4 linked regions of the Oreochromis niloticus genome follow. The protein of the gene in region 2 interacts with the protein of the main gene of each other region in a pairwise test. Links are inferred from orthologs where the notes say so. Each region holds a gene or a part of one and is shown on either strand. Other genes may lie near its edges.

Region 1 (6,740 bases), on a different chromosome or scaffold from region 2:
TTGGACTTTGAATAGAATAGAATTCAACTTTGTCATTGCACATGTCACAAGAACAAGGAAACAAAATGCAGTTTGCATCCATCCATTGGGCCTTATTGTGGAGTGGTTTACCTTTCCTAACTCTCCTTTCTTTATCAACTCAATTTTAATACGATTAAAAAAGTTTAGGGTTAAAACCCTTTTTAATCTACGTTATTTCATCACAATATGTAGAAGGGGAAATAGACACACAAATGTTGAATGCATTATTACCTAAAAGTTTGATATTTCTTAATACATTGCTACATTACTTCGCCTCTACATTCCTTATCATAACTATTGAAATTAGGTTGGAAGAGCTTTTAACATGAAAACAGAACAACTCTACCCACACAAAAAACAAGACTGGTGATTACATTAAAAAATTGATTAGGCAACCAGGTTTTTGAAAACATTGACACACATAAACCACAGAGAAGTGCTCATCTCCAAAGGCAGCCCAAACATTCTGGAGCCGAAAACATTCTTTATCACATCTATGCTCGTAAGTTCATAACTACAGCATGGTTATGGGTCCTAGTGATACAATATTCAATAAGTCGGGACAGATTTAAGATTAGGCAGTAACATATGAGACTGATGCCTCTGACAAGAAGAAAAAGATTAATGCCCCTTGGAAGGGGAGAATACGGAGTGACTGATTTTCAGGAATCTGGACAAGTACAGGGCAAAAAAAAAAAAAAAATGTCAGGCCTAAACAGCTATATACATCAGGTGAACAGTATCTCAATCATGCCCTTAATTAGAAGGGAAAAAAATCCCCAAAACATCTGACATAGGACCTGAGAGATTTGCAACAGCTTTGTTTTTCAGCACGACAATGATCCCAAACACACTGCCAATGCAGTAAAAGCACACCTAGACAGAACCCCCCCCAAACTCATGGAATGGAGTCCCCGGAGCCAGATCCTAAACATTGTATGTCGTCTGCTTTTTGTTTGACAAAGAAAAACTTAGGAAAGCCTTTCAAGTAGCCTAGAAAACCGCTTAAAGAAGTGTCAAGAGATTTTGCTGTGCTGAGGAATAAAGGCGGTCCTATCAAGTATCGACTTTCAATAGTACAGAATTGTACAAACTGTTTTTGCCTTACTGTATGTTTGCATGTCTTTCAGTAAATTGTTGCACCCATTTTCCTAGCAAAATATAAAGAAATGAAGGGATACTCAAGACTATTGCAGAGTACTGTAATTAATAGGCTTAAATTATCATAAACAAATTATATTACCCACTATATAGTACCCACTTGTTAAATAATTATGGTGCCTATTGTCCTCCTTAAAACGGGACATTTTGTGATAGAAACAAAACGGACACCAGTTTGCTCCAATAAAACTCTTCAAAAATTTATTTACAGTACAAAAATGAAAATTTACTATGGGTTTCTATGAATGGGCAAAAATAAGAATGGTGCATACAGATTCCAGTAGTGCAAGGGAACACAACAGCGTTAATAATTTTTCCTGCACTACGAAGCAAAGACAAAAAAGGAAAAGGAAATATCTTTACATCTTGTACTGCAATGTTTACTCTGACAATAAAAATGCTCTTTAAACATGAATGTTGAGTTCACATTCCAATAATGTAATGTACACTGACACATATAGCATGGACATAGATGATTAGCTATGCTTTGCACTCAGTGCTATGGCGCAAAAAATATAGAATATATAACTATAGATTGGTGAGATATCTTTATCTGTCACTGAGCACATCTTAATGTAATGCGAGCACTGTCAGAAGTAAGATCCGTCATGTATCACATAGACATTATACAACCTGAGAAAAAGTCTTCTTTGAGACAGCTGTGGCAGGTTCAAGCAAGAGATCAGTAATTACAGAATATACACCACCAACAAATCCTGTTCCATTATTTCAATCAGTTCCCGCATTTACCAGTTCAAACTTATTGCTCCATTCCCTGCAGAAACAGTTGTTTGTCCTGTTGTTGTTGTTTTTGATGATGATGTTATCTAACCTGAATGAACTTAGGCAATCAAATAAGTGGGAACGATTTACTCATCAAGGCCCTCGTCTTCCTCTTCCTGCTTGGCATCCACCTCGCTTGTGTCTGAGAACTCGTGGAGCAGCACGTATTCACGGCTGCTGAAGCCAAACTTTAGGACATCTTTTTCTTTGAGTTCATAGTACCGCTGGGGGTCGATACGCTGGTTGTTCAGATAAGTGCCATTGCCAGAGCCAAGGTCAATAATGTAAGGCTTTACCCTCCGGCCCGTGGTGCCATCTGCCCGCGTAAACTCCACCAGTCTGCAGAAATGAAGACAGAATGGTGGACATGATCTATTTGCAAATGAGGATCATGATTAAAGAGTCATTCAACATATTGGACAACAACAATAGTAAATAGTAATCACCACAGATTGAGCACGTTTTTCAATCAAAAAGAAAACCAGAGTAAAAAAAAAATAAATAAAAATTTGATGATGACTGTTCTTCCTACCTGTACTGGAATACTGCATGTTGCTTGGAGCAGGATGGGTGATCAATCGGGATATCAGCAATTCTTCTCTGTCGCCCCAACAAATAGGCACTCTGTCTGTGAATATACATGACTGGAAGAGCCTCATCATTCTTGAAAGGGTACAGTCGCCATCGGCGCTTCGGAATCCGAGCCTCAGGCGGCTCGTTGTACTTGATCACCACTCCCCGAAATGTGTTTGTGTCTTCTGTGAGTGCCCCTGAAAGTTCGAAGTTTGGCTTCTCTTTCTCAGCAGGAGCAGCGCTTGCCTCATCACCCTCTTCTTCTGACCTCCCGAAGTCTCGCTCTTGGTTTTCTTCACGTCGCTGGCGATTTTCCCTGCGTCTCTCATCTTGCTGCTGTCGTTCAGCTTGTTGAGAGGCAAGAGCATTTCGCTCCCTATGCCTCTCTCCACCGCGCTCTCTCTCTCGTGGCCTATCTGATTCCCACCTACTCCGTCTGTCCTCTGGTTGCTCATTTCTTCTTCTTCTCTCGTCGCCGCTAGCTCTATGCTCATCCCGTTCCTGTGACATATATTTAGAGAATACTTACACAGTTACATTGTTGAGTAGTTAGTTATATTATACTCCATTACCCTTCAGTATGGAAAAGTGGGCTCTATTTTGTTTGACATATTGTCATTACTGCCAGATGCCTCTGAAAAACATTAAAATGGGACAACTGTAGCCCAATGTTGGGTCTCTACACAGAAAACATACTGCCTCAGACTGTTAGTACTATCTCAAAGTACTTGGGTTACACAAGCTTCTGTGTGATAAATTCCAGATGAGTACTTTATACCACCTAGATCACTTTACACTCCAGTGGTGCTGCTGAATTGCAAACCTGAAATGTTTCCCAATAATTTTGAAACTAATCACCCGCTTTACTCTGACATCCCCATGGTGAGGACTACGACTTCTCCTTTTTCTCGGAGATCTGCTGCTTCTTCTGGCGGGAGAGGTTTCCCTTCTACCTGGTGAACGGTCCCTCGTCCTTGCAGGTGACCTAAATGAAGAACACAAGAGAGTATTAAGCGACCGTTCACATGACATTTCTCACCGTTAAGATGCAACTAGTGGCCGTAGCTAGCCCAAGTAAGTACTACAGCGATATACTCGAAAAAACGGACTCTGTCACGGTTGTCAAGTTGATCAATATGACATATGTGGCAAAATTAAGGTGGTATGATAACTTTAGTGCACACACCGGCTCGTTCCTCCTCTCTGTGGACTGGAGTTGCCGGGGGATCTTGACCTGGAGCGGCGTGATCTCTGTGGCCTAGCAGGGCTCAGTTTCTCCTGCTTTATCTTTACTTCGGCTTCACGCTCCGGACTTTCTCTTCTCCTGTGCCGCTTCTCTTTGGCCATGCTTAAAATAATTCTCTCAAATCGACCGTTGTATAACCTAAAAAGCATACATTTTCAACCACACCACTGTATGTACAAAAAACAAAAGCCTCGGCATGTAACAAACTTCACCCGTTACGCCGAGATCACGCACTTCCGCTTCCTGAGGTTCACCGAGAATTAAGCTCCGCGTGTGTTCATGTTTCACGTTGGTTCCGACATGAGAAGCCGATCAGTTTATTTCCTGTACAGCCTAAATATTTTAGTGTATTGAAAAAGCTGGAATATTCTTTCATTATTTACATATTCGTTTAACACACATTACTTTTACTAGATGCAGCCTCTAAACACAATAAAAAAGGCATAGTAAAAGTTGCACAATGTGGTAAAAGCAAAACAACAACAACAACAACAAAATCACATGCCCTTGGGCTTTTTAAAATAATTTTTTTTTAAAAAAATACTGATAAAAATGTATTTATCTCAAAGGGAATTTATAAAAAAAAAAGTGTCACTAGCCTGTACTCGCTGAAGCTATGCGCTGATTCCGCTCGCACACATTAGAACGTAACGGACGCTGTTGCCAGGACAACCCAAACAATGAGCGTGAGCTTTCTGTAACTAAAGGCTAAACCAAGAAGTTTCCAGTTTTACTGTATAACTTTATTCTATCCCTCTATTGTAAACGACAATGATTCCTCCAGCTGACACGCTGTTGAAATACGACAATCCAGTTCTGGTCAACAAAAGCACAGACAGAAAATCACCAAAGGTGAGTTTATCAAGCCAGCCGTGTTTATGGCACAAATCTCAGGGATAGATTTGAGATTAATGTAAAAGTTATGCTATTCAAAATCCCGGCAGTCTGATTAAATCTTAAGATAATTATACTTACATCTACTAATATATTTGCATGCATATATAGTTACAAGGTGGTTCTGTAAGGTGTATTTTATAATAGATTTACGAAAATGTATCAGTCATTTAAAAAATCAAATCAGGGTAATAATATGTTTGTCTGATAGTTTATGAAACATCTGTCACTACAGGGACGCCCTTTGAAAGTAAGCCCTCAGCAGCCCATTGACTCTACACCTGTTCCACCACCTCCTAAACCAAAATCAGCCTCTACTGAGGCTACTAAGCAGGAAAATGAGGAGATCCTCAATTTAATCCTCCCACCCAGGTACAGTTTTTCCTATCTATAGCATGTTCTTCAGCAAGTTCAGAACTTTTCAAATTTTCCTCTTACAGGGAGTGGATGGAGGGAAACCAACTGTGGGTGCAGAAAGTATCCAGTACACCTTGTACAAGAACAGATGTGTTGCACCTAGAGGAACTCCTAGACACAAAACTCCAGGAAAGACAGGCCAGAGAAACCGGCATCTGCCCTGTCCGCAGGGCGCTCTATTCCCAGTGTTTTGGTAAGGAAGAAGCTGAGATGTTGCTGATTATAGAAGGTACAATCAATGCATATAAATACAATTAATCACATACGTTTTCTTGTCATTCTTTCTTTTGAGATGAATTAATCAGACAGGTAACCATCAACTGTGCTGAGAGGGGTATGCTATTGTGGCGGGTCAGAGATGAGATTCAAATGACCATTGCCGCCTACCAGACCGTCTATGAAAGCAGCATAGCTTACGGCATGAGAAAGACACTGCAGGCTAAGAAGGGCAAAGCTGATATGAAAAACAGAGTAAGGATATCATGTTCCTTATGAGTTACAAATACAGGGTCACAAAATATATATACATTTTAATACTAGGCAATTTATAGATGATGGGAAATTTACTTTGCCATTCATGTAGTTCAGCTGTCATTTAGCTAGGAGTCCAGCAGAGAGCACCATTTCTCTATTTTACAGTTACTGTACAATGACAGTGGCTGCAGTGCTCTTTACAGGATTGACCCCGCATCAATAACAAACTCACAAGTATGCTTTGGTATACGGGCAGATTTTGGAGCTAGAGAACGAGAAACAAGAACTGAAGAAGGCGCTGAATGAAGAGAAGGCTAAATGTGAAACAGTTGAGAAGATAGAAGCTGAAAAACGACAGCTGGAAGAAAAGAGGCACAATGAGGAGATCCAGCTCCTAAAGAGAACCAACCAACAGCTTAAGGTGACTTTTTCAATTACACATCAGAGAATAATTATTGTAGATTGTATTGTCTAAAGATTTCTTAACCACCCATCTTTTCTTTTCAGGCCCAACTGGAAGAGATAATTGCACCAAGGAAGTAAAAAAAAAAAACCCCAAAACTTAGCTGGCATTTCTCTGTACAAGATTGTATTCATTTATAATTCATCTTATTGCTTAATGATACATTAAAGTAAAAACTTAGTGTAATTTACAAATGTTTTATTGTTCTGGCATAACAAGTACACTTCAAACAACTACTGCAGATTGCTCTTGAACGTCAAGAGAGCAGTACACTTGTAAATGATGAATGAAATGTCATTCAAATACAGTTCTGCACTGAGGGGAAAAAGTTATAACAGTCATGAAGATAAGGCATCAAGTTGATTAAGACCACCTTAGTGTTCCACCTTCTGCCAACCTTTTTTTTTCCCCAATGAAAATAGCATCAGGCTAATTTAAATACAGATTTATTACATGTGTGTTTTATTTTATTTTATTTTATTCAACTCCAGTCTAGTGCTTCGATTTCTTGGTATTTTGACCTTCTGTGCCTGATGCTGGGATTTTTTTGTTCTTGTTCTTGTTCTTCACATTGTGAGTTTCATAATAACGCACGCCAACTTTCTTCGTCCTCTGAGCACGATCCATTGCTCTTCTCTGTAGAGAAAGATAAAAGAGAAATAGAAGGAAAAAAAAAGTGAAATCTTCTTCTAAAAAAGACCAGAGCTT
Region 2 (7,112 bases):
CGGGTGTTGGCTGTACATCAGCTTCCTTTCTCATGACACCAAAGCTTCCTTTAAGACTAGTGGAGTTGACATGCTGCTGCAGCAGAGGCATCAGGTAACGAAGGGTTAGCAGCACCCCCAGTATTAGATGGCTGGGATGTTCATCATCCACCGGAACCAGCAGACCTGGAAAAAGGCGAAAAGGGCAAAAATTCCAAATTAGCTCACAAATGTTAACACAAATGATCTTAGTAAAATGTAAAAGGGTAGAAAAGACATGTCCACAGTCTGTGCTTGAAAGTGAGCCTGTGTGCGACCTACCCAGAAGAACATTAAGGAGCCAGGTGTAGAAGTAGCTAGTGCGTCTGGAGTGCTGGCAAATACTAACGGCTGAACTGGCTGCTGTCCGTCTAATGGTCGGGGAGCTGGACTTCAGATTAGCCACAAATGCCTTCAGCAGCACCTAAAACAGAAATAGTTAGATGATGATTACAAAAAAAAGTTTCCACTGGCCTATGATTTTTATTTTTTTTTTTCTACTTTAGCACACAGCAGGTGAATACCTTGATTTCACCATCATTGGCAAAGTGTCCCAGGGCGGACATGATCTTGGGCATTGCTGTAGCAAGTGTCTCCTGCACAGTCTCTTCCTGCCGCTTTGTGATTCTGGTGAGGCACGGCAACAGGTTGACCAGGTAAGGTCTGCGCCATAAGGGAGAGAGAAGAAGTATACATGAAGTAAAAGCAAAAAAAAAAAAAAGAATATGCAAGTAAAAAAAGCACAGATGATACTTTGATGTTGTCCCCACAACCACAGCAGACTCTAAACTAAGACATGTTGTGGATAATAGTTAAAAATAATGTAAAAATATTATAAGTTTGCATACCTGCATTTCTGCGGTCTGATGAGGTGGGCAAGCTCAGCAAACCTCCATAAAGCTGCCCTCAGACTCCGAGAGGCACCATTCTATTGAGCCACACAAGCACTGATATTACCATGTCTAACATCTGACCGTACTTTCTCTAAAGAAACGTCAAACAATTTCTTTTCACATCTAACACTGGCCTATAGTCTGAGAGTAAAGACATAGAAGGTGTATTAAAAAATACTCACTTTACAACCTCATGCCTTACCTTTTTAATTTCTTTGTACAATTCCAGCTGCAGTCTAGGCAAGTTGGAGTCCATCAGTGCCTGAAAATTATCAAAATGAATGATTAACACCACCACCAACAACACCAAACTTATTTTGACAATTTTGGTCATTAATATTCTTATTCATTTGTCCCATCTTGCAGATTTTGCTCACTTTGATTATTTTATTCAGGCACTCATCGGCTACCATCCGAACATCTGATTCACTGTCATCGCTGCAGAGCAGGAACATCTCCATGGCGATGCCAAGCAGTTTCTGAAACTCTGGAGATGTTCTATTCCCAGGACCAGAGAGAGAAAAAGCCAAAAATCTATTAAATTTTCTCAAACTGTTAACCCTCTAGCATAAACTCACAAAACTGAGGAGCAATACGTTTTTTTTCACAAAGGACATTACAGAAAAGAAAAAAAAAACTATATGTAAAGATGAACATGTCCCCACTTCATTCCCAAAATATCACAGAAATCAGTGAAATCAGGTGTAAAGCCACTACTGAAGCAGCTCTGGTTGCAAATGACATCACCCCGCACCTCAGACATTCTTTACAGAAAAGCTATCTTACCATTTATACAGTTAGTGAAGGTGATAGGAAACCCTAAAATAATGTAAAAAGATATGACTCACACCAACACATATTTAGATCAAATAACAAGGAATACCTCAGTGACTGAGCCACAATGTTTTCACATATTGTCAGACAGTGGGTCACCCTGTCCTTCTTTGTGGCAGCTTGCTCCTTTTTTCTGTGGAAGATGAGACAAAATGCAAAAGATGAGTGTGAGTGTGTGTGTGTGCACAAAGAAAGACTGAATTTAGGTATCTTGCTTATAGCCAAGGAATGCAGTGATTAAAATAATGACTATAAATCAGAGCCATCCCCTAAAACTGTATTCCTTACGCACGGATCCCATCAATTCATTTCTTTAAAAGCTATATAAATGAATTCCTATGCCTGTGTTTCAACCAACAACGGACTAGATCTGTCATAAAACTTCTTGGAGATGACGCAAGTGCAGGAAGCCCCCCTATGTTGATCATTCCATTCATAACCATTTGCATAAGCAGTTTAAATATTATTATGAAACTCAACATCCTCTGCTACTGAATACACAAAATTACGTCCTTGAAATTGATCCTCCTGACCCTTTCACGTGTTCTTGGCATCAGCTTTCTGTGTTGGCCATCATTCAGCTGGTCTGATCCTAAAATCAGGCTAGCAAACAATCAGATCGCGTTAGGATAGCGAGCATCGCTAAGCAGCGATCTAAAGCATGGCAACAAGTGTACCTAAATGGGCTGAGAAGTATGAATAACACCTTAGCCTCATTCCCAGTTTACGTTTTAGCGCAGCTGACTTGAAGCCATCTATTAAACGTTGGTTATCTACCCGAGATGGACCAACGCTGCTAGCACGATAAGCTAAGGGTCTAGCCTAACGGCTCCTAGCCTCCTATTCTGTCACCGCTGGACAAATATCAACTTACTGCCTCTGAGCGAGCTCCTCGGCGGTCGGTGGTCCCTGCTGCTGCTGGAATGACTTCAGAGACTCAAAGGCCTTCATCAATTTCTCCATGGTGGCCATTTTAGCAATCTACAATAAGCAAGCTTGCTTGACTAGCTAATATTTACTATGTGAGCTAACTAGCTAGCAGAGTAGGGGCAACTTAACGTTTGCGCACGTAGAGAGCAAGAGGTGCGTAGTGCGGCGAGAGTGCTAACACTGCTCGCGACAGCTACCACCAGCTCTCCGCCTTGTCTTCTCGCAGAGCGCCACTTATTCTTTCACACTACTATTCCTAAATAAATCAAATGCAGGTTGATAATAAGCCATCTTTGATGCAGCATTGCGTTTTCCCACCAATCACACCAGGAAGTAGCTTGTGTGACAGGTTTACTGAGAGGGGAAGGGTGCAACGTTAGCAGCCAATCAGAGTCCGGATTTTTGTTGAGTGGCTTTAGAAAGAACCAATACGACACTGTGATTTTTTTTTCTTTTGTTGTTATTGTTGCAGTCACGAGACCGCTGAAATCTGGAGTGCAGGACAGATTTGTTCAAGTGTAATTTACAAGTATTGACTTTAGTGTGTGCGCTGATAACGGTGGGTGTCAACTGATACGAGACCGTAGGAAGGAAAAACAAATGCACGGAAACCAGCCCCTCCTGACAGTTATTCGATCATTTATTCTTTTGTTAGTGCTATGATCTCTGACAAATTGGAAGAAGCAGGTAATGAATGGAGCAAATGTAGGGTCTAACGGCATAAAATATATAACTTATCTAACTTTAAGTATTTTACTCCTGATTTCGTTTCTTTTTTATTATTATATATTTATTTTTTCAGATCAAGCTAATTGCAATATTAGCATTTATTAGCAAGCATTTATTGGGATAATTGCTAATGAGTCTTTCACAGTGCTGTAGAGGAATTTTGGCCCACTCTTCTTTGCAGAATTGTTTTAATTCACCCACATTGGAGGGTTTTTTTTGTTTTGTTTTTTAGCATGAGCGACCTGTTTAAGGTCATGCCAAAGCATTTCAATTGGATTTGAGTCCAGACTTTGACTAGGCAGTCCAAAACTTTTTATATATGTAGATGTGGACTTGTTGGTGTGTGTAGAATCATAGTCCTGTTGACCCAAGTGTGCTTGGGTTTGAGTTAGTGGCCAGATACTCTCCTTCAGGATTTTCTTGTAGAGAGCAGAGTTCATGATTCCATCAATTACGATAAGTTGCCCAGGTCCTGAAGTAGCAAAGCAGGCCCAGACCATCATACTACCATTACTTCAGAATTTATTCTAATAGGCACCAAATCAAAACTGACTAAAGTTCCAACCAGAAGTTTTTCATTATCCAGTGATAACTCTGTTGTCACACCTTCCCCTCAGGTTAAGAGTCTTGGTGTCATCCTTGACAGCACTCTTTTCCTTCACATATAAATAATATCACTCAGTCTTCTTATTTTCATCTTTATCATATTAACCGCCTTTGTCCTTCAATCACTCCAAACAGTACCGCCATACTTGTCAATGCTTTTGTTCCATCTCGTTTAGATTACTGTAATTGTCTTCTCTATGGTCTGCTTCATAAATCTCTCCATAAATTGCAGTTAGTTCAAAATCGGCTGCTTGTATTATATTCCGAATTAGATCTACTAAACATATAACACCTGTTCTTAAACAGCTCCATTGGCTCCGTGTCAATCTTTAGATCCTGCTTCTTACTTTCAAAGCGCTTCATAACCTTGCTCAACTATATTTTTCTGATCTTCTCCATATGTACTCACCCCCTTGTACACTCCACTCTTCTTCAGCTTCCCTTCTATCTGTTCCACCTGCTCGCTTCCACGGAACTCAGAGCCTTTAGTTGTTCTGCCCCAAGACTTTGGAATGCACTTCCACCAGCTCTCTGGACTACAAACTCTCTCTCCACTTTTCAATTGCATCTTAACACCCATCTATTCAAAATTGCATAACCTTCATCGTGATTCCGTCTTAGTCTATTTTTACCTTGTTTAGCGTTTATACTTGCTTTCATACTTGTTTATTTTTCATTTACCTTATGTTTTTATTTTTATTTTCTTTTTGTACTCATGTAAGGTGACCTAGAGGCTCTTTAAATGCACCTATAAATAAATAAAATGCATTATTATCATCACTATGTTTGATTGCTGATATGATGCTCTTTTTATGAACCTTTGTGTTCTTTTGGTCAGCAGTGGTTTTCCCTTCAGAATTCTCCCATAGTTGCCATTTCTGCTCAGTCTCTTTTTTTTACTGTTGAATCATGAACACTAACCTTAGCTGAGGCAAATTAGTCCTGCTGTTCTTTAGATGTTGTTCTGGGTTTTTTTGGTGACCTTCTGGATAAGCTGTCAATGAGTTCTTGGAGTAATTTTGGTAGTCTCGTCACTACTGGGAATGTTCACCACTCTTCTAAGTTTTCTCCATTTGTGGATAATGGCTCTCACCTTGGTTGACTGGAATCCCAAGGACTTAGAAATGGTTATGTAACCCTTTCCAGACTGACAGATGTCAATGACTTTGCTCCTTAATTGTTCTTGAGTTCTTTAGATTGAGGCACAATGTGTTGCTTTCTGAGATCTTTCTGTCTACTTCAGATTGGTTTCTATTTACATGATTTCTTGATTAACAAGGCTGTGATTTAGCAAGAGTAGCATTGCTTTTCCACATATGGAGCGTGATGGCAAAATGCAAACTGCATCCAGGACAGAAACAACTCAATTTTGTTGCTTACACAACTTTGGCTCTTTGCAAGCATCTCCACAGACAGCATTCTAATGCTAAGATAGCCAAGAACTCAGAGTAATGTTAAAGCTGATTGAATACTGACCACAGCCCCAGATATGCTGCTTAGTGATGGTGATGACTTTCAAAGCAGAGCCAATGAGAATCGATAAGGATTTTTAATCCATAAGTGATATCGATTCCCATCCCCAGCTTCATTATGCCTTTAAACTGAAATCATTTAAAAATTGATTTTGTATTTACCCGGGTTATCTTTGTCTTACATTAAAATCTGATGAATGTTCTGAAACATCTAAGGGTGACAAATATGCAAAAAATAAGAAAAGAGGAAGGGGGGGGAAATACTTTTTTCCCCCAGCACTAGGTCATTACTTTTTATACTCTTCCAATTGATGGCCTTTTATTCACAGTAATAAAACAAAAAACACAGAACAAATAAGTCAAGACAAGTATTTTTATACAAATGGCAGTGTATTATTTCATAATTACAAATGTCAGATATGGTACAACAACCAGTGATACAACTTGTACAAGAATTAACAATGACTGCAGTGGTTGAACGACATGACTGTACAGATACAAAATAAAGAAGAAAAATCAAGAAGTCCCAGGCCGAGTTTGAAAACCCATAATCCATCCATCATTCCTCCCTTTCTCGAAAATATTACTTAACTGACAAATCTGGACAAAAGAACGTGAAACCCCGCAAAACCTCCCAGCCTGTGTCGGTGGTCATCCCAAAGCTAGACTTGAGTAAACTAAATAACTTGCGCTTCGAAACGTCGCTGGCGAGCGCCATCCCAGTGTTAGGGAAGTGGCTTGACTCACCATCAGAGTCTTGGAGGAAAGGCAGAAGAGAAGGAATGCGCTTTATGAATTCAAAGACTCAGCTGGTCGCCTTGCGATTCATAAAGATGTCCTCAGATACCAGTGAGATATGTTGGCACTAGAAGGTCATAATTTACATATACAAGGAACCTGAAGTATTACAAACTGATACATGCTTGAGTAATAAAACATATGCATTTTTCTAAACAGGCATTACAATGCACTTAGTGCGGACATTCAAAACTGTTGAGCTGTTTAAAGTTCCTTTACACAAAGGAATTTCTCTAAGAATGGACGGAAGGATAAAGAGGCTGAAAAAAGGCAGGATGTCAAAAATTAACTTGGTTATTGGCACATATAATAAAGGCTGTCAGTCTTTCTCTACTAAATTCTTCAGAAAACAAAGAAATTCTAATTTAGTTTATGTTGCTTTTGGTATCACTGGCAAAAAAACAGAAATAAAAACAAACCAACAAAAGGTTAAAGACACTTTTCCCATAGTCATTGTCAAAACACACCATTAGTGCAATGGAACGAAAAACAGAATTTCTTCACTGCTATATGGAAGGTGTAAGAGTAAAGATGGTCAAAACAATGATAGAGGCATGGGTGGTGAACACAGTTTAGTTTCCTTGTGAGAATGAGTGAATCAGTTACATGTTAGAAATACATAATTTACAAGGTTTTTGAGGCTAAAGAGCTAAAAGGCTAAAATCTACAGAGGCAAGCAAAATCAGCTTCAAATGTGCCTGAGAGCAACAACAAACGAAATAAAGACACTAAGAAACTCAATGACAAGAAGCCAGCAACAGCTAGATGCACCCATCTGATTCCTGATAATGGAATGTGCAACAGGGGACTCTTAGAATAAGCCACTTCTCCA
Region 3 (6,886 bases), about 23 Mb from region 2:
CAAGACAAGAATGGGGCAACGTTCCTCTTCCAAAAGTCCAGCAGATGGTCTCACAGTTCCCAGATGTTTATCATATGCTACACAGTGGTAAACATGGTCTAGTCTCAGCTTCTTTTTTCCCCAAGTGCTGCTGCCATCAAATTCAAAATGAGCCGGTATTTTTCTTAAAATGGTACATTTTTCAGTTTAAACATTTGATATGTTTTCTGTGTTGTTCTGTGAATAAAAGATGGGTTTCGTGAGATTTGCAAATCAGTTTTTATGTGCAGTTCATACAGCATCCCAGCTTTTTCTTTTTTGGAATGGGGCTGTACCTTCCCAATTCTTCTTTGTTGGCTAAAGCTGTTGAAAGCAAATTCCCAGCATAAGTGAAGACAAGCCCGCCGTCTCACCTTCTGTAAAACAGATGGATGACGGGGTAGTGATAGAAGTGGGTTTGCCTCCTGCATTTCCCCTGACTCCACCAGCAGTTAACAGCCACAAACTGCACCTGTGTTTGTGTGTTTGAAGAGACACATTAAGAAACAAAGATGAGCAAAATGGTGTGTAGACTACACACAAAACAGTGTAAAATCACACACTGTAATGACTCATTTACTTAACAAACAGGCCCAAAACAAGTCGACTATGAATTTGCATTTGAGAGACACAAGCTAAAAATGTGTGAGTGTGTATTTAAGCTGAAGGGAACAGATTGTATTAACTCAAGTATATCAGAGTCACTCTTTACTGCAGTCTCTCAAGCTGCTCCTATAAACTCTTCCCAATATGTTGCGTAACAAGCGATAACATAACATGCATCCACGTAAGAACAAGCCCCAGTTTCCTGACGCCTCCTTAGTCTTTGTCCAAGTAAAGCACATCTAAATATTTGATGTTTAAACAATCCTGAGTGGGGGAGGTTCCGTTCACTTGTACCTGTTTGGCCAGCTTCTTAGCGACCTGCTGCACTTCCTGTCGCGCAGCCATAGAGTGAGCACACCATGGTGCATAGAAGAAAATAAAGGACACCTCGGCCACACTCCTGAGACGCTCCACCTGTGAAGAAAAAAAACCCCTTTCAGACTCACAGAGCACCACAAGTTTGATTACGACGACAAAACATTTAACTGGAGTTTTAGAAACTCTCTTGGCTCTTTCCATTTGTTCTCTTTTACAATTTGAGCAAATGAAGTATCAAACAAAGGAAAATACAGTGATTGCCATCAAGTCTGAATCCTTGAATCTCACCTGGTCAAGCTGGCCCAAGTAGAGATCCACCACCGGGGCGTCAGGAGAAAAGAAACGCACCGGAGGCCGAGCTGCTGCCACCACATTCTTAGCACGACTACAGAAATAAATGAGAAGAGTAACGCTGAGGGGTGCAAAGAGATCACAGTCACATAATAAGATAATATTCAGCATATGTAAAGAATTCAAACAATCTTGCCAGGTTATTAAATCCATGAGCTACAACTCTGTGTCACTTCCATGAGATTCGCTCATCATGGCAGTGTGTCCATCATCGGTTGATGTGAGTGCTGCAGTAACCTCCAGCCTTGCATACTACTCTGAGTTGCACATATTGGAATATGCATGTGTTAAATTTGGAAAATGAGAGTAGAAGCAATGGTATTTGGAAATTGAGGGTATTCTAAGCTGATGTACGAGGGGAGGAAAGGCTATATCTTTGCATCCACAGAAAGCAATGTGAAAAACTCTGCTGTGTTTGGGGATGTTACACATTCTGCCTCCCCCAGAGGCTATGCAAAAATGTCTACATTGTTACAGCGGGAGCAAAATTACCTCAGCATGACGAGAAGCAGAATTTGCCTGGTATAATTTGCGTGGAGTCGGTTTCAAATTTCAGTCTTTGTGGCAATTATCGTCTCAGCTGGATTTTCGAGAGGGCGACTGAGTAACTGCTTAGCCAACAAGTCAATCATTCAGCAACAGTTGCCACACTTTTACACAATTGAAGGATTCCAGCACTTTCATTCACCATAACTGAACGACAAGTGGTATAAGCTTTGAAGAACCTTAAAGTTGCAGAGGCCAAAGCTGCAAGATGATGACAGCACAGTGTGTCAGGGATGTCACCAGATATTACTATTTAAACATTAATAATCTCATTATGATCTTCCTGCAGTCTTTTCTGGGTTTTATCTGAGTAAAAAACGCCCAACATTTCCTTGAAAGATTAATGCGATGTCCTTAGTTAATCTCATTGTCTACAGTACACGTCAGTTTTAGATTAGCAGCACTAATAATGAAGCCCTTGTTTGTAACTACTGCAGACAGCGAGGAGTAGTTCATTCACGACCTAACAGTGTTACAACGCCGCTCTTCGCTCACCTGACTAACCATTCCACTTAGTTTGTGTTTTAAGGGGTCTCGTGTTAGCCTGGTCACACACAAGCAAGCTCGCGCTGTCAGAGGATAAACAGAAGCTCGTGCCCATGTTTACCTGCACGTGAACTTGACGGCCAGCACGAGCAGGACGCCGAGCACGATAGCCCCGCAGAGCAGATCCGGTCTCCGGGCCATCAGAAACAGCACCTGCCGGAGAGACTGCCGCACCCGGCGCAGCATTACAGCTTGTCGTCGCCTCTCCGTCCCATTTATACGCCCCGACTACCGCTCAAAGCATCCATTTGCCTAACGGGGGGGAGGGGGGATGGGTGAGGAAGACTGGTTCGACGGAAACAGCTAACCTGGATTGGACATGAGCAGTGCTGGTGTGCAAGGTGTTCAAATACGGTCAAGCCAACCTTTCTTCCACACGTAGACTTTTCACTTCCGCAACAACGATACCAGGGGCAGGATGTAAAATCCTCTACGCAAATAAAACGCGTAGTGCGTTTAACTCTTTAATGGCTGTCTGAGTTTAAAAATGTTACTGACAGTTAGTTTACCGGATGTTAAAGATGAACGACACGATTCGTAATAATTATAATGTTTAAATTGGTCCCCAGTAAGCGAATTTATTCCTTTTTCCGTATGGCGCAAAACGCGCTCTTTTCAGACCGTCCCTACGTTGTTATGGCGACAGCCGCTGCTGCTACGACAGTCGTAAAACACTAGGGGGCGGTTGTTTTAAAAATGAATCGATAAAACTTTATTTAAATGCCGCTTATTTACATCTAGAGTAGAATTATTTAAAGTGCCCGGGACTTTTTGACTGATTGTGAGACAAAGAAGAGACGAGAGAAACAGGTTGGCGAAAACTCCTTTCTCGTGTTACTTTTCTTCATATTAAAAATCACTGCATCAAACTGATTCAGTTTATCTTAAAATAACTGAACACTGGGTGTGTAAGTTTTTAAAAAAAGGGTCTCTATACGTACTGAGAAATTGGGTTGTCTTAGTTGGGGCTACTTTCTTAATAATCTTGTGTTATTCACCCAAATATAGTAATGTTGTAAATTGTTAGGCCCTTTTATTACCTTATCACTACTTACTCTTAATTATTGTGACATAATTTTAAGACATTGGCTGTCTTAAATGTCAAATGCTCATAATACAGCTAAAACAATACATGTAGGACATGAGCATCACAGTTCTCAGGCTGTGATGCTTGACATTTTATATTTGGGATATCATGTCTGTAGAATATCCGGATCTAGAGTACTGTGCAAATGTCTCAACCTATTACTCTTTTCTTTAAATTTTGCTATGAAAATGGGAAATGGGGACAGTGATTTATTGAAACATGAGCAAACACACTTGAAAATCCAGTATATAAAACAAAAACAGTTTGTACAGTTCTAATGTATTTGAAAAAAAAAATACTGCGACCTTCTTGATTTTTTTAATGCAATGTCTCTTGTTCTGTTCTGTTTAAAGATGATCCCACACTGCTTCAGTAATGTTGAGGTCTGGGCTCTGGGAAGACAAATAGAGGACTGATAGTGTTCCATTGTGTGTTTTTCCATCCATGTATGCTTTTACTGCACTGGAGCTGTGTGTGGGATCATTGTCACCATGAAAAATTAAGGCATTGCTGAGATCTTTTCCAGATGGAATTGCATGGTGGATCAAAACGGTAGTTTTCTGTCTTCATAATTCACTCAATTTTGACAAGAACCCGAGCACCAAGGACTAAAATGCAGCTCCAAACCACGACAGAGGCCCCACCATGCGTTACTGATGGCTGTACACACTCGCTTTATTTTATCAGGCCTGCCACTTCCTGCTTTTGTCTTCCACTTGTCCCCACTTGTCCACTTTCCTCCAATTTATTAAGGACACACCATGCTAAGACATGCCAGGTATTTAACTAATAGCTCTTTGATTCAGTTGGTTGATGCACATGTACAAACCTCCTCCATATCTCTCAAAGTGCTTGGTTTTTTTTCTTTTTTTAAAGCATTTTCACAGATTCAAGCAAAGAAAGGAAAATAAAGTATGCATTTTTTTTTTTAGGCAGGGAGTAACAAAGTGCCAAAACATACATACACAACTTAAGTTGTCTCTTATTCGTAGACGAAACACTGATTCATCATGCATTTTAAATCCTTGAATGGTTCCAGAAGTGGTTTAACAAAAAAATAAATCAATTCTCCTCTGAAAATGATCAGGTACATTGACTGGACTGCAAATGGGTTTTTGAAAGATCTTCAGAAAGCCTGGAGAATGATTGCTTAGGGTTCCTTTAAAAATTACAAGAAGGTGCCTTGAAAGCAAAATAAAGACATGAGTGGATCAAAACTTTTGCACAGTACTGTAAATTCAGTTATACCCCTAATGTTAATGGCAATTTATGGCATTAGTTATTAGCTTTTACTCACTGACTTTTGATAGCTGATTGTTTATACAGTCTGTATCTGTATGAGAACTCTGATGACTAAAAAATAAATAAATAAATAAATGAAAAAAAAGCACTGAACTTGAAAACATCAAATATATATATTTATTTTTGAAAAGTTAATTTCTTTACTTTGATATATTCTGTTCCTGTGATGATAAATATTTCAAGGATTTTTAGATAAATTTGATTAACTTATGTCTCATGAAAATCATAAACCTGTATCTCACATTATTAAAATATTTCCTACGTTAGCAAAGGATTTTAAATCAGGAGCCTTTAAAAAAAAATGTTGTTTTATGCACTCAGCAGTTGGTTGAGGCTCCTTTATCAGAATGAATCAGAATTTAGAAAGTCATTTATATGTGGCTATGAATACTCCTTCAGATTTAATATAAATCTTTATTTTGTAAAGTATCATTCAAGAACAAAAGAGCACAAATAATAATAATGATAATCATCATCATCATCACAGTGTAAGATTTTTCAGTGCAAATGAACATATTAAAAAAAAAAAAAAAAAAAAAAAAAAAAACCCACTAATTTCTGATTAGCTTGGTCCACCCATGAAATGGAAACATATACTGTGAATTACTTGAACAATTTTTAAGAAGGGCAACAATATTTCTCAGCAGTGTGAGCAAATAAAAACAAAAAATATATAATATTTTAAAAAAAGGAGAAGTTATATGCATTACCTAAATAAATTTTAAAAAACACAATATTAAAAATTTCAAATCTAAGCATCACAAATCTTGTGAAGGCAAATGCTGGAACCGCCGGAACAAACTTCATAGAACATTTGTTCCGCCAGACTGTCTCTGTTTGCACTTGGAAGGGCGCTAAAGCCTGAGAGGCCAAACAGACTGCTGAACTACAAACCTCACTTGACACTTCTCAGTCATGTTACCAAACATCACAGAATGACTTCTCACACAGCTCTGTAGATCACCGAGATCACAATCACAGTGAAAATGTAAGAAATGCATCAGAATTTATGCAGAGTTATAAATACTGCTTCAGATTCTGGATGGATAATCCTGAAGCAGCCTGAGGTTATTTTTCTAAAAGTAGATTACATGCCAGAATGATATTTGATAACAGATGTAAAAACATGTATCCTTATTTGTTTTGTTCCAACTTCACTTACTCTGTATAAGCATAAAAACGCATGTTCTATTGGACTACAGCTATGCCAGGGCTACAAAGCTTTCAGCACCGCGTCGCGAGTCCAATCTTTACTCCAGTGAGTGTTGAAACACGTCTTATCATTCCGCTTACCACCCTGGACCGTTTAGGCATCGTGGTTTGTGAATGCACTGTGGATGCAAAAAGATCACTGCAGTGATCAACCCAAGTCAGACACTATTACTTGTTTCTCACCTCATTGGTTTTGTTTCTCCTGCAGTAGTCTGGTGCCTCTATTGTTCAACACGGCAACCATCCGGCAGAGAGACAAATCAAGAACCAAGACAAATTCCCCAACAGTAGATAAAGCCAGTCTTCAATGCGTTTACTGCTAAAAATAAACACTTCTCATCAACTTATTTGCTGCAAATTGTCCCACATCAATTGGGCACCTCCTCATCCAGTGCCGTCTGTCACAATGCTACTGTTTCAGGGTGCATTAACTGCTGCACCACCAGGTCGATATTAATGATGGGACTGAAGTAGAGTGCCCAGTAGAAGAGGCAGTTGCACACAAACTGTGGGACAAAGGGCCAAAGGAGGGCAAATGCAAATCCCTGAGTTAGCATTTTCCACAAGTGGCTCCACATCATTTGTGGAAGAGTCCTACAAAGAGAGGGAGGAAACAAGTGTTATAAAACCACTACAACCACTACTCAACAGCTATCAACCCAAATCTTGTACAGGAGACGCTAAATCCAGTTCCAGGTAATACACAACAGACAGTATAAAACATGGACATAGTCTCTAGGTCTGAAATGTAAAGCCACGGCAGAAGTGCCATAAATCTTTCTAACAGCCAGCAGGGGGCAACTCTGGCTACAAAAAGACTTGCAGTTGCATAGAAGTCTGTGCTCCATTAGTTTTCATTAACCAATAGGTGATGTCACAGTCACTACATCCATCTTTTGT
Region 4 (7,587 bases), on a different chromosome or scaffold from region 2:
AGCCAGCGTAATACTGCATAATATTGAAGAAATTCAGGATTAAAATTTCAAGTCCTCCATAATGCTAATATTGTTATATTGTTGGGTAACTGCAGTTTGTGTGATAGAAGTGATTTTCTTGTTTCTGGTCCTTCAGATTCCCAGTTTCTCATGGTTCTCCCACAGCCAAGCATGGTACTTGTTTAGCTTATGATCATCAGGTTTTACCTTTGACACAAGAATCGAAAAAAGAAAAAATTAAACTTGAATTTAGAGCAAACAAATGAGGAAGCAATGGAAGCAACTGAAGTAAAATAGTTGGGATTATACCCACCTGTCTCCACTCATTGATACAGAAGATCCTGTACGAGTCGTTGCCGTACTTTCCAATACCGTGCAACTCAATAGGGTAACGCCACTGTTTAGTTAGATACTCATCTACACCAGAGAAAAGGGATTGTGAGGATTTTTTTTCTGTTTCATATATTGTTACTAAAACCATGCAAAGACTACCAAAAATGAACAATAAAATTACAATAATATATATAAATAAATGGACATTGCATGTGCACAAAGGTAGTTGCTGCTGTAATCCACTAACAGGCAAGAATATCCACCTGAGAAGCGGATGAGTGTTTTGGCTCTAAGCTCATACAGGCCAAGTGGCTTCATAAGTTCAGACATGGGCTTCCAGTCGGCCTGTCGGGTCACCTCTGCAGATGGATAACGCTCAAAGAACTGCCACAGGACTGGAATGGCCATTTTACCTGTATTAAAGAAATGCCAGGGTTCAGCAAAGCTTAATGCAACATCCTGAATAATTAAATGTGTGTGTTGAATCCTACCACTGGTTTTGTTCAGAAAAACTGTGGCTACCAGCAGCTTCCAGGGATCATGGAAAAGAGTTTCCTGTACGAGGTTGAAGGGAGACCGGGGAGGTGTCCACTTCTTGAAGGCCTTCCTCCTCGGTGGGCTAAGTCCTGAGTGTGGACAGTGCACATTTCTTTAAATTACACACTTTATTTATTTCATGAATGTTGATATACATGTCCGACGTAAAAGCATCCAGTTTCCTGCATTAAACATTACCATCTCTGCTGGATTTCCCACTGAAATAAGGACTTGTTTTCCGCTTGCCTTCCAAGCTTTTGGACTCTAAGCAGACAGGAAACATTTATGGATATTAGAAGAGTGAAGCTGCTTTACATCTTTTGGTTGGGTTCAAAGTTAAGTACCTCATAAAATGACACAACAGAGAAAATCATATATTCGCTGAGCACAAAGTGGTGGAGTCCTATGATGGCTTCATTAATGCAGTAAGATTACTCAATCAATTCTGTCCTCCCTTAGACTAATGATGTGATGCACTCTCTAACAATGGACTATTATTCTTCGCCCCCTCTTTATCAGATCTAAATGTATGCATTTTTTTTTCTATTTGGAACATTTTGTGTCAATTAAGGCATTTGGTTTCTTTGATTTTTATGTATTTCTAGCTGCAAATATAGAGGATAATGGAAGACATAAATAACCACTAATGCACTGGATAAGCTCAAATTAAACAGCTAAAAAAACATGAAAAACTTTTACAAATTGTCAGTCAGTGTGGCTCATTCTTACTATTCTGGGATTCTCGAACTGGTGTACAGCTCCCATCAGTGGTATCAGGTAACAACGCATGTTCTTCAGCATCTTGACGACTGTCATCGCCAGTCTCCAGGTCAGAATTAGGAGTGTTGTCACCTTTGCTTTCATCACCTTTTTTCTCGCTCTCAGCGGCAGGTTCAACATTCAAAATCGGGGCCGAAGGCTTCAAATCTGCTTTCTTGTCCTCTTGAAGAATAGACGTGTTTGGTTGATTACTTAAAGGAGCCAGTCTGAGTAACTTCTCTCTCAGTTGGCCTCCTCTTTGGGGGCTCTTTTGCAGTTGTACATTGTCCACTTTTTCTGCGGTCAAAGCTTGTAAACAACCATTTAAAGTTTCAGTAGTTTTGTCTCCATTCACATTCACTTCTAATACACATGCAGTCTTCTGTAGTTTAGTGTCAGCATCAATATGATTTGTGTCGTCTGCCGTCCTCACTTTTCCGCTTTTAGTATCACTTCTGAGGGAGGAAGAGGCTTGTTTGGATTTATTTGGAGGTGCCTCTAGAATTGCTGTTTCATTTTCTGTTTCCTCCTGCTGTCCCTCTAAAGGCTTTTTCTTTCCTCTCCTCTGCTTTACTTTGGGAGGGGGTGCTTGTGAAGGGGTGACAACATCATCTTTGGATGTGGTGAAATCAAAGAGGCTTATGTCTAAGTTACCACTTCCACTTTCCAGGAGGAAAGTGCGTAGGGATGCTCTGGACCGGAACCTTTGCCCTTCGGGACTTAAACAACAGGAAAATCAATTAGATGCTGATCTAAGGGCTTCTGTGGTGCACTTACAGGTAACATCTTACAGAGACAAGATTGTAAAAAAGACCAAAACTGAGTCACCTTGTAAAGTAGACATCTAGTTTGCCTGCTGTCTTGCCTGCTTTCCGCTGCCTCACTTCTCTGATCCAGCCAGGGGGCAATGCGGAAGAAGGGCACAAAATCTCCCCTTCTTTGAGACTTTGATGATTCATGTCCACACTGCTCTCCAGTTCAGTATCTTATCTAGTAGGATGCATTTTTAGTTTCTTTGGAGTCCTGTTGAAGTGAAGACAACGAATAAAAAAACCTTGGCTTTATTGTTAAACTATGAACCTGTAGTTCTTGTTTTGTTCCTGCGAGTTTACTTGGACATTTACAAAAACAACACATACAAGGCGTTTGCTCATTCTACAGTTTGCTCACATAAAGCCACATTAAAAAAAAGGATTGCTGGATATTACTGGGCAGCAGATCAAAAGCAAAGAGCTAAAACGTTAACAAAGGCGTGTGCAGCATACATGAATACTGATCAGGCTTTAGATGTGCATCTTCTTGTCTCGACGTGGCTTTACCGAGTTCTTTCTGATGTCAACACAGAAGCAGGAAGTAGCGAGCAAGTGCGAGTCTGCGCAGTGCGAGCTACTCGCTACAAGAAACGGTACAGGGTGAAAAAACAGAACCAAGCGAACTGCAGCAACCTGTTGACAAAAGAACCTTTGGTGCTTTTTTTCTGTTAAAGAGCGGAAATGAGAGCTGTCCTAGCATGGAAGGAAACGATCCGTGAGCAATGGTAGGAATCTGAGTGATTAGGTTTGCGCTGTCAGCCTCGTCCCGATGCTCAGATGTAACGCTAGGTGGTTAGCAACGGTGGTTGCTATGTAAACTAGTGTTAGCCCGCTAACTAGCTTTAGCATCGCAGCGATTCCATTATCATCAATGTGTGATCTTTTATATCGCTCTCATATTAGATGTCGTGCATTATGTATTTTCCATAAGTACAGTAGCTTATGATGGTTCTTTGGTAACCGATATAATCATAGACGTAGGATCTCTAGTTCTCATTACGGTTTATTTTGTTTGTTGTGCAGAATTGCGTGCTCCTAATAACATCTTTTTATTGAAGAGGCTTTTTAAATAAGGTATTAACTTGTTTGCCATTATTTCCCATTACATTCTTGTCAGGAATTAAGGTAGTCCTGTTTAGTCTAGCATTTAAATGATCAGACTTCCCGAAAAAACAAAAACCGAGTAGGTGTTTGGAGAGATGTTTTTGTGCTGTTTCAGAGGGAGAATGGAAGTCACAGAGTAACTCATAATACTCTAATGATACAATGCCCACTAAAATGTTTATATTGTGATCAGATCAAATCACAATACTTGATATGTTGCAGGAGTCATCTTGGATAGATGGTTGTATCTGAATAGGAAAAATATGACTCCCCAAAAAGGCAAAAGCAGGACTTGTATACTTAGCATGATAACTGCAGTTATCATACTAAGTATACAAGTCCTGCTTTGTTTGAGTGAGACAATGTGGGATACGTTAATAATGCTGAGAAGTCACTTGTAACATTTTAACAACTTTATTTGTTTTCTAATAAAAACATGCTGTAGTTTTTAATTAGATATTTCCAACTTCTTATATGCATAAATGGAAGTTAACTTTTTTGGTGGTGTGATTCAATTAATTTTGAGCCACAGATCACTCACATTTTTTACTCTGACATTAGACAAAGACGTAGTCCAGTCCATCTAAAGTTTGTGACATCTGCTGGTGTCCCTACCCCCAGTGGACCCACTAGGGATTTTTATTCATTTTATCTATAGAGGTTTTAATTTCCTGGCTCAAAACTCCATGCACGTAAGCACAATTGATCCGGATATAGTCAAGTAAAAGAGTGAACGTTTTTACCAGATGGTTTAACACAGTCTTTGAGAGTGAGAGGATGCCTGAAGAATGGAGAGGTGGTACTGATTTTTAAGAACAAGTGTACAGTAACTACAGAGGGATAAAACTCATAAGCCATACCATAGCTATGGGAAAAAGTGTTGTTGAAGGTAGCTTAAAGAGTGAGGTAATGATCAGTGAGCAGCAGTATGGCTTCATGCCACGAAAGAGCACTACAGATGGGATTTTTACTTTGAAAGTGTTGATTGGAGACGTATAGGGAATGTCAGAAAGACGTGAGCTGTGTCTTTGTGGATCTGAAGAAAGCATATGATAGGCTGCCAGGAGGGGAACTGTGGTACTGCATGAGGAAGCCAGGAGTTGCAGAGAAGTATGTGAAGGTGGTGCAATGCAGGACATGTATGAGGACAGTGTGACAGTGGCGAGTTGTGTGGTACAGATTGGTTCGAGGTGAGGGTGGGATTACATCAGGGATTGTCTTTGAGCCCCTTGTTGACAAGACAACATTGTGATAAATAGTGAGAGTGGGGAGCAGTTGGAAGAGAGCTTTGAAAGGTGGAGGCACGGACTGGAAAGAAGTATAAGAAAGACAGAACACATGTGTGTGAATGAGAGGGAGACAGGTGTAACAAGTTTTCAAGAAGCAGAAGTAGTTAAGGTGGACCAATTTAAATATCTGGGGTGAACCATCCAAAACAACAGACAGTGCACAAAAGAGGTGTAGGAGAGAGCACATGCAGGGTGGAGTGGATGGAGACGCGTGATTTTCCTTGTTGTTAGGTGTAAACATTTTTTGGATGTTTTGTGTGTGCGTGTGTGATTTTGAGCAGCTCCCACTTACTGTTTTTAAGTTTTGTTACTTACTGTTGTTAACCCATTTTCACACATAAAAGCCTAAAATTTGATTAAAAAAGGTGTTTTCAGGGGATAATTATCCACAAAGCACAACTGAGTAATATATAGTTAATGCAAAGTGTCTGAGCTACCTTATGTAACAGAATCAACAGAAATGTAAGTATTTTCCTGTTTCTGCCTAAGTTGCATAAATTAGAAAAATGTAACTTATGCTCAGCTAATGTTTCCCCACTTAAAGAAATAGTTGGAGGAATGCCAAATCTCATTTAGGGGAAAAGCCCTGAATTTGTTAATTTCAGAACATTTGGTTTGATTTGTTTGCACTTGTTTGTCCTTGCTAAAGATGTCCTCTGTTTCTTCAAACTCTGAATTTTATGGGTTGTTTTTTTTTTTGGTTTATTCGGTGTATGCAAAAGAAAAAAAAGAAAAAGTCAGTGTGCTATATTAAAGAAATTCCCTAGTTCAATACTGAGAGAAGACACTGGAGCTCCCAAGCTAGTTCACTCCTAATTCCAGTCGCAAACCCCAGATCAGGGAGGGAAGGTTGCATCAGGAAGGGCATCCAGCATAAAATCTGTGCCAAATCAAATATGCAGATCCATCCGCTGTGGTGACCACTTGGGAAATAAGGTTGCAGCTGAAAGAAAGTATTAAAGAAACATTGGACACTTGCAAATTCTCACACTTATGAAACTGGAAGCCATTATTCTCCATGCTTCACAGTGAGTGTTTTCACACCGAAACAGATTGTGTGCATCCTTGCAACCTAGCAGAACTGTTGAATGTTTTCCCTCTTCATAGGAACCTGATTTTTTTAGTGTTTTTATTTATTCTTGGTTTTTTTTCACCAGGATTCTTAACGTCTATATTTCTAATATTTCTTTCATATTTCCTAACAACATATTTACTAATTCACAGTGTTGCAGTGACATGTTTTGGCTTTATCTTCACTCATAAGTTTGTGAATTCCTCCAAAACCTTCAACAGAGTTGCAGGGTTGCAAAACCTTCCCTGTGTGCATTTTGGCACACAGCAATAACGTACTTGTAAAATCCACCTCCATGGCACTGCTAGAGGTCAAAAACTCCACAGGGAACCTCCATTATATGATTTCAGTGATGAATGGATCCTCATAGCTGTTGCTCGTGAACTAATCAATTTATTGAAAAACCATTTGAACACGGATCTGTTCTTTTGGGTTTTTTTCTGCAGCGTTTATGACCTCGCCTTCAAACCAGATGGTAGCCAACTCATAATTGCTGCAGGGCTTCGTGTCCTGGTGAGGCTTTTCTCTTTTCTTTAGCCTAAAAATGCAAACATGTAGAGAATACTTTCATCGTTCACCTCAATTTCACCTCATTTTTTTTTTTGTTCCAGGTTTACGATGCAACAGATGGCAGTATTATTCAGCCTTTAAAAGGACACAAAGACATAGTGTACTGTGTGGCTTATGCCAAAGATGGTACTAAATTGATTTTCACTACATTTTTCTGTGTCAGTCATCTTATTTTTGTTCTTAATTCTTACTCAGTAGTGCATTCTTCTGCAGGTAAAAGATTTGCCTCAGGGTCAGCAGACAAAAGCATTATTATCTGGACTTCTAAACTGGAGGGTATTTTAAAATATACGTAAGCAGCGCTATTACTTATTGCTTTAGTATTACAGAGTTGTAGTGTTACACCACAGTGCACAGTCTGTACTCCTCCATCATTCTTTCTTTTATTTGTTTATCTGTAGTCACAATGACTCTATCCAGTGTGTTGCCTACAACCCAGTCACTCACCAGCTTGCCTCCTGCTCATCTGGTGACTTTGGTGAGTGCACCTCAGTGGGGAACTTTGATAAATGTGACCTAATGTAAGTACATAGAGAAATTAAACCTTGTCGAACTTCTCATATTTTTAGGCCTGTGGTCTCCAGAGCAAAAGTCTGTAAACAAACATAAAGTGAGCAGCAAAATAACATGTTGTGGGTAAGTGAAGTCTGGAGCAGCAACTTTTATGCAGCAGCAGTACATTTTCATTTGTGCATTTATGTTGCTGTGCATCATTTGCTTGCAGGTGGACAAACGATGGGCAATACCTTGCTCTGGGTATGATGAATGGAGTGGTGAGCATTCGGAACAAAAATGGGGAGGAGAAGGTCAAAATAGAGCGTCCAGGAGGCTCCTCTTCTCCTATCTGGTCCATAGCCTGGAATCCCTCCAAGTTAGTCCTAAGTTATTATAGAAATGGAAGGATGTCTCCACAGATTAACACATAGCCACATATGTTTTTGGACTGTCCTTCCAAGATTTTGAGCCAAAATTGTGGAAAATTAGATTTATTATTTAGGTGAATAGTTTTTGTAGGGCCAGCAGGGGGCAGTGTTCAACCAGTGAGTGGTGGACCTTTCTCAATGATGGACTGAATTATGATGCCTGGGAACAGCTGTCTTTGCTCTATGAT

Evidence for each region.
Region 1: the proteins of htt (region 2) and dnali1 interact in binary tests that used the Homo sapiens proteins (3 or more experiments, as listed by UniProt). The link is inferred for Oreochromis niloticus from reciprocal best matches to the Homo sapiens genes HTT and DNALI1.
Region 3: the proteins of htt (region 2) and txndc11 interact in binary tests that used the Homo sapiens proteins (3 or more experiments, as listed by UniProt). The link is inferred for Oreochromis niloticus from reciprocal best matches to the Homo sapiens genes HTT and TXNDC11.
Region 4: the proteins of htt (region 2) and mbd4 interact in binary tests that used the Homo sapiens proteins (3 or more experiments, as listed by UniProt). The link is inferred for Oreochromis niloticus from reciprocal best matches to the Homo sapiens genes HTT and MBD4.

Annotation. Positions count from the first base shown.
Region 1 is NC_031976.2:27,044,039-27,050,778, forward strand, and holds dnali1 (axonemal dynein light intermediate polypeptide 1), read left to right. Parts: upstream 1-4,416; 5' UTR 4,417-4,555; coding exon 4,556-4,636; intron 4,637-4,913; coding exon 4,914-5,050; intron 5,051-5,118; coding exon 5,119-5,288; intron 5,289-5,387; coding exon 5,388-5,566; intron 5,567-5,825; coding exon 5,826-5,990; intron 5,991-6,076; coding exon 6,077-6,112; 3' UTR 6,113-6,218; downstream 6,219-6,740. Other genes in the region: snip1 (smad nuclear-interacting protein 1), read right to left, coding at 2,052-2,304, 2,498-3,039, 3,397-3,523, 3,725-3,933; gnl2 (nucleolar GTP-binding protein 2), read right to left, coding at 6,525-6,668. UniProt on the Homo sapiens protein: Involved in sperm flagellum assembly.
Region 2 is NC_031971.2:34,423,629-34,430,740, reverse strand, and holds the start of htt (huntingtin), read right to left. Parts: upstream 3,025-7,112; 5' UTR 2,718-3,024; coding exon 2,620-2,717; intron 1,879-2,619; coding exon 1,795-1,878; intron 1,410-1,794; coding exon 1,289-1,409; intron 1,174-1,288; coding exon 1,114-1,173; intron 947-1,113; coding exon 867-946; intron 682-866; coding exon 543-681; intron 443-542; coding exon 301-442; intron 166-300; coding exon 1-165.
Region 3 is NC_031971.2:11,026,476-11,033,361, reverse strand, and holds the start of txndc11 (thioredoxin domain-containing protein 11), read right to left. Parts: upstream 3,021-6,886; 5' UTR 2,751-3,020; exon of another isoform or gene 2,638-2,750; 5' UTR 2,572-2,637; coding exon 2,447-2,571; intron 1,328-2,446; coding exon 1,231-1,327; intron 1,039-1,230; coding exon 919-1,038; intron 491-918; coding exon 393-490; exon of another isoform or gene 315-392; intron 1-314. Other genes in the region: bifunctional apoptosis regulator, read right to left, coding at 6,388-6,580. UniProt on the Homo sapiens protein: May act as a redox regulator involved in DUOX proteins folding. The interaction with DUOX1 and DUOX2 suggest that it belongs to a multiprotein complex constituting the thyroid H(2)O(2) generating system.
Region 4 is NC_031984.2:14,358,762-14,366,348, forward strand, and holds the start of mbd4 (methyl-CpG-binding domain protein 4), read right to left. Parts: upstream 3,016-7,587; 5' UTR 2,895-3,015; intron 2,653-2,894; 5' UTR 2,589-2,652; coding exon 2,458-2,588; intron 2,349-2,457; coding exon 1,600-2,348; intron 1,135-1,599; coding exon 1,069-1,134; intron 960-1,068; coding exon 825-959; intron 747-824; coding exon 597-746; intron 418-596; coding exon 314-417; intron 208-313; coding exon 133-207; 3' UTR 1-132. Other genes in the region: ift122 (intraflagellar transport protein 122 homolog), read left to right, coding at 3,123-3,166, 6,353-6,419, 6,518-6,602, 6,690-6,768, 6,878-6,954, 7,046-7,112, 7,201-7,347. UniProt on the Homo sapiens protein: Mismatch-specific DNA N-glycosylase involved in DNA repair. Has thymine glycosylase activity and is specific for G:T mismatches within methylated and unmethylated CpG sites. Can also remove uracil or 5-fluorouracil in G:U mismatches. Has no lyase activity.